Tribolium castaneum: one gene and its partner. The protein of the gene in region 2 interacts with the protein of the main gene of each other region in a biochemical or structural test. Links are inferred from orthologs where the notes say so. Each region holds a gene or a part of one and is shown on either strand. Other genes may lie near its edges.

What was found. The genes of interacting proteins can lie anywhere in the genome.
Region 1: the proteins of Prp6 (region 2) and holn1 form a complex in vitro, tested with the Homo sapiens proteins (2 studies listed by BioGRID and IntAct). The link is inferred for Tribolium castaneum from reciprocal best matches to the Homo sapiens genes PRPF6 and CD2BP2.

Annotation. Positions count from the first base shown.
Region 1 is NC_087402.1:7,512,508-7,514,999, forward strand, and holds holn1 (CD2 antigen cytoplasmic tail-binding protein 2 homolog), read right to left. Parts: upstream 1,666-2,492; 5' UTR 1,628-1,665; coding exon 683-1,627; 3' UTR 636-682; downstream 1-635. Other genes in the region: Etf-QO (electron transfer flavoprotein-ubiquinone oxidoreductase, mitochondrial), read left to right, coding at 1-616. UniProt on the Homo sapiens protein: Involved in pre-mRNA splicing as component of the U5 snRNP complex that is involved in spliceosome assembly.
Region 2 is NC_087399.1:6,879,912-6,883,381, reverse strand, and holds part of Prp6 (pre-mRNA-processing factor 6), read right to left. Parts: intron 2,651-3,470; coding exon 1,963-2,650; intron 1-1,962. UniProt on the Homo sapiens protein: Involved in pre-mRNA splicing as component of the U4/U6-U5 tri-snRNP complex, one of the building blocks of the spliceosome.

The sequences.
Region 1 (2,492 bases), on a different chromosome or scaffold from region 2:
TGCGGAAAGCGCCTACGAAGCCATTAATAGCGAAAAACAAGAAACTGAAGGTTTTGAACCGAAGAGCTATCCAGACAAAGTTAAGAACAGTTTCATTTGGAAAGACTTGAAACGGGTGAGGAACGTACGACCCAGCTTCCATAATCCTTTGGGGATGTATGGAGGAGTGATGTACAGTGGATTTTCCATAATGATTGGGGGGATGGAACCGTGGACTTTCAAACATGGCGATCCCGATTACAAGAGACTCAAACCGGCCAAAGACTGTACACCTATCGATTATCCGAAGCCTGACGGTAAAATCAGCTTCGATCTCCTCTCTTCCGTTGCGCTGACTGGGACCAATCATGAAGGTGACCAACCCCCGCATCTAACCCTGAAGGACGATACCGTTCCTGTTAAGCAAAATTTGGGCATTTATGACGGGCCTGAAGGCCGGTTTTGTCCAGCAGGAGTGTACGAATTCGTCCCGCTTGAAAGTGGGGACGGTCAAAGGCTGCAAATCAACGCCCAGAACTGTATACATTGCAAAACTTGCGATATTAAAGACCCGAGTCAGAACATCAACTGGGTGGTTCCCGAAGGAGGTGGCGGCCCGGCTTACAACGGAATGTAATTAAGTGCCTTTAAGCAAATTGCTTGACTTTTTATGTATATTGATAATAAAATTTTTATAACACTGTTAGTCATACAGCTCGAAGTCTATCCGGTTCGAGGTGTAAAAGTTGGATTGTTCGCCACACTTACGCACCCACACTCCCGTCTTGAAGTACCCTTCTTTGGACCACTTTAACATTTGTGAGGTGTCGTACGGACCCTCGACTTGGTCCTTGTCTTGGTCCCACTTAAATTCCCACATTAACTGCTCTGGTTTACCTGACACTGACGCCGTCTCCATCTTCTCCTTCTCCTTGTCGCCGAAGTCGTCAGCATACATGTCCAGAACAGGCTCACTGTTTTTCGGTTTCGTTCGGTCGTCAATTTTTTTGGTAATTTCTTCAAAAGTCTCCTGGTATACGTTCATGTTCCCCGTCTTCGTTAATATACTATTCGCGATCTCGGTCATGTCCGCCACATCCTGATTCGAATTCAAAGTCCCTGCCTTCTTGCGCTTCAGTCTCTCGACACTGGACAACTTCAAATCGCCCCCTAACCGCCTCAAACACTTGTTGACCGTTTCTTTGGGTTTCATGTAGTTGAGCATCTTTTTGTACAAACCGACCTCATCGAAATCCTCAGCTTCCGACTCAGAATCACTCTCGGCCCCCAAGCCTTTCTCGTTGGGGTCCAACTGGTACTTATCGTCACTGTTGACTTTATGCCAGTCGATGTTGTCCAACCAATTATCCCGTATTTCCTTCTCGTTGTTCCAAATAAAGTGGCCCTCTTTGTCGAAATGCCCTTCTTCCATCTCCTCTTTCATGTTGAAGGCGGTCATCCGGACCCCTTCAACCTGACGCGAAATTCCCTCCTCTTCGCCCTCGATGTCGTCGGCGTTGAGCTCTTCAGCGGTCTCATCGTAATCGTCCTCTTCGTCCGAATCCAAGGAATGTTTTTTTGCGTTAAACTTCACCTGGCGCCGCTTATTTTGCGAAAAATCGCCTTCGTTGAATTTTCGTTTTGACATTTTTGACAAATGCAAAACAAACAACACGCATGCTCTCAAAACCGATCTGCACTTTTGGTTTGTATCCACGGTTAAATTTTTTAATATTTGTTTTTTTTGGAAATAATCATAATCAGCTTTTTTTACCGCAAATTTTTCACCACGCTTATTACTAAAACATAAACAACTCAAAAATATATTGTAAAAAACCCAAAAAGTTAAGAAAAACTGTAAAATTGAAATGGTATGTTTGGCAACTATCCAAGAGATGGCACAAGCTACTTTAAAATTTGTTTATACTGTGTGTTTCAAAAAAGATGTCCTCCAAATACGTGCAAATACGAATTTCTCTTATGCTCTCATTACTTATTAGCAGTCGCATATTTACATAAGGAGAAAATGGGCTATAGCCCAGAACGACAGAATTTTAGAATTTTTTTGTTACAAGCTTTATTTTTTAAATAAATTGCAAACTAAAGGTTCTGATTTTTTATGGTTGAAATAATGAGTTTTAAGATGTTTTTAATAGTTTCAAATTATATTATATTAAATTCACAATAAGTAAACAGAGAACAAGCCTGAGTACCTAATGCAAATATCTACAGAAAAAGTTTTTAAGTCAGCGACAACGTACACGTACAACTAATATTGTAGAAAAAAGTGCAAAATAGCTACGCTTTTTTTTTTAAAACTTCATAAATAAATACAGGCTGATTTTTTAACATATCTCAGAATATAAATGAGAACATTTAATACCTAGTACATGTTTGGTGACATTACTAAGAATTGTTTCAGGTTTTCCCATGTGATTTTCAGAATTATCTTGCATTTTTAGAGAATTTGTGCTAGAACTGAATTTGCTATTTGATTGACTGATTAAAAAAAG
Region 2 (3,470 bases):
TAGTCATATTTGACAAAATTTCAAAAAATAAGTAAGTTTTTTACTCAAAAACAAGACGCCAAACTTATGTCATTACATAATCTTAACTCAGAAACAAAAAAATAAAATACAAAAAAGTTTATTTTTATTAATTTTTCGATTTTAAAATATTTTTCACATCAAAATATTCAAACAAGAATTTTTGTGGTGAATTTAAAAAAATAAAAAACTACAGAAACGGTCAATTTTTGTTTAAAAAATTGTCTTCAGTCTCATTTACATTTAACAAAAAAATAATAAACAAAATAATGAGGGGAAAAATCATAAAACCAAATAATAAATTAATTATTAAGTATTATCCTACTTAATTTTCACTCTTAAAACAAATACAAAATACATAAAAATAACAACATTTATGAACTAAATTTCACAAAATAAGTTAACTGTCGACGTAATTAAGTGATTTTTCGACTTAAGTGTATTTTAATTTTCGCTTTTAAGCGTGTTTGATTTTGACAACTTAGATTTTTATGGTCCAAAAAATATTAGAGCCATTATAGATGCAAAAAAAGCTTAAAACTTGCTTATAGTCAAGAATCATAAAACAAATAAAAACTTTCCTCAAAGCTTGTCATAAATAAAACTGCACATGTCTGAGTATAAAGTTGAAACTCCTACTAAATCTTGAAGAAATCTAATGAAACAAATGTCTTACAAAACCGCACTTAATAAAATATGTGCAATGATTGAATTTTCGATAAAATAGACGCAATAGTTAATGGGTAAGTACTTTAAAAATGCTATATTAATAACTACTAATAAATTCACTAATTTAAAAAAAATATGAACACTACAAAAATCTTAAATTTTTGTTTAAAAATTCTCATGACTGACTATTAATTTTATTTTTTTGTTAATTTCATTCAAATTAAAAAAAAAAACCACAGCAATTTCACTCTGTATAAAATAAGATGACCAAACCATAATAAACAAAATAATGACGATAAAAAAAGACAGGTAAAAAAGACTTTTATTTCTAGTAATAGGTCCCTAATATTATTATTATTGGTTACGTACTTTTAAAATGCTATTCTCGTGGTGAATAAAAAAATGTAAACACTACAAAAATCTTAAATTTTTGTATAAAAATTCTCTTGACTGACTATTAATTTTATTTTTAAGTTAATTTCACTCAAATTAAAAAAAAAAATCCACAGCAATTTCACTCTGTATAAAATAAGATGACCAAACCATAATAAACAAAATAATGACGATAAAAAAAGACAGGTAAAAAAAGACTTTTATTTCTAGTAATAGATCCCATAATATTATTATTATTGGTTACGTACTTTTAAAAATCTTAAATTTTTGTTTAAAAATTCTCTTGACTGACTATTAATTTTATTTTTAAGTTAATTTCATTCAAATTTAAAAAAAAATCCACAGCAATTTCACTCTGTATAAAATAAGATAACCAAACCATAATAAACAAAATAATGATGATAAAAAAAGACAGGTAAAAAAAGACTTTTATTTCTAGTAATAGATCCCATAATATTATTATTATTGGTTACGTACTTTTAAAAATCTTAAATTTTTGTTTAAAAATTCTCTTGACTGACTATTAATTTTATTTTTAAGTTAATTTCATTCAAATTCAAAAAAAAATCCACAGCAATTTCACTCTCTATAAAATAAGATGACCAAACCTTAATAAACAAAATAGTGACGATGAAAAAAGACAGGTAAAAAAAAACTTTTATTTCTAGTAATAGGTCCCATAATATTATTATTATTGGTTACGTACTTTTAAAATGATATTCTCGTGATGAATAAAAAAAATGTAAACACTACAAAAATTTTAAATTTAATTTTAATTAAACAATTGACAGAGTATTTTTATTTTTAAGCATAATAAACAAAATAATGGGAAGAAAAAAACATAATAAAAAATCAATAACAAAAGACTTGTATTTCTCATACCTTGATCCAGATCCGTACCGACGTTGGAATATGCCTGGCCGCCTGCGCAATCACCGCCTTGGCCGTATCCTGGGGATTAATCCTGGCCGCCTCCAGCCACAAATCCTCACTTTGTGGATTAACCTCACACCCTTTCATAATCAAATTCCTCGCCGCTTGCACCTTCCCCGTAACTTCCTCCAGCCTGGCACTAGCAATCCACGCCGGAGGATGATTCGGATTCGTCTCCCTCACCGATTTAAGCAACAATCTCGCCTTCTTAATATCATTAATATCCCCACCGTAGGTGGGAATCATTGATTGCAAATCGGTCAAATACCCTTTCGGGTCCACAACTGTTTGTCCAGTCACCGAATCGGACACTTGCGACAACTTAACATTCATGAGAGTGTTGCGGGCTTGTCCGATTTTTCGCAAGTCCATGTCTCCGGTCGGGGTGAGCATTCCGGGGGTGGCAACACCCGGAACCATGCTTGCTAGCCCCGAACTGGGGTCAATGGTGGTGTTGGATTCGCCCCCCAGGTTCCGGGCTAGGACGCTGTCGGGCAAAGGGATGAATTTTTCGGCTCGGGGATTGCGCTGTTTCCGGTTACGGGCGTCCCCCACGTCTGGGACGCTCCGCCATTCGTCGTCGGAGACGTTCTGCAGGTCGCGTTTCAAGTCGGAGAACTGTTGCTGGATTTTTGGCCTAACAAGAAAATTCTTTTAACCAAAGTGATAGAAAAAAACTTTAAAAAATATTTTATGTAACTTAGTTAATTTTTACTTTTTTAATTTCTTTTTTATTCATCTCTTTTTCAATGTAAACACGTCTGAAAATGATAGTTACCAACGAAACATGTTCCTTTTATAATTTTTAACATCTTTAATAGCTACAACTGTGTGGAAGTTCACAAAATTTTTTTCATCTTTTTGTTAAGTTATCAGCAATCCACTTAGAAAAAAATGAATCCAGCTTAACATAAAATTATTTTATATAATCCAAGGATGGTTTTAGGTTTAATTTTAAAACTGTCGTATCAGAACAGATTTTTTTTTATTTTGGGATGAATATCATAATTCACTGTTAATTTCAGTCCTATCAAAAAAAATTAATCAAAGAGTAGTTCTACAAGCGTCTAGCAGGAGCAAAATTTGCTATGCCCGAGGCCCATTGGAAAATATTTGCTTTGGGAGCAAAAATCTTTATGAATTCGTACAATTCATTGATACTGGCTAATAAAAAAAGTAAAAATTTCTACAAGAGTCCAGTCGATAGTTTCCGGTATGCCATAAAAAACATAGAATTGTTGACGTGTCTCTTCAAGTTTTTACAGTGTACAGTGTATGTGAGAAATGCCAAGAAAAAAATGTATAGAGAAATTTAATTATTAATTCAAATGTCAGACCGTTAGATACCTTTTTCATTCTGCTACATTTTGTAAAAATTCACAAAATCTGTTGATAAGTATTAAAAAAACTCCAAAAAAAAAATATTCTAAGAAGCAATAGATCATTTACGACCAATT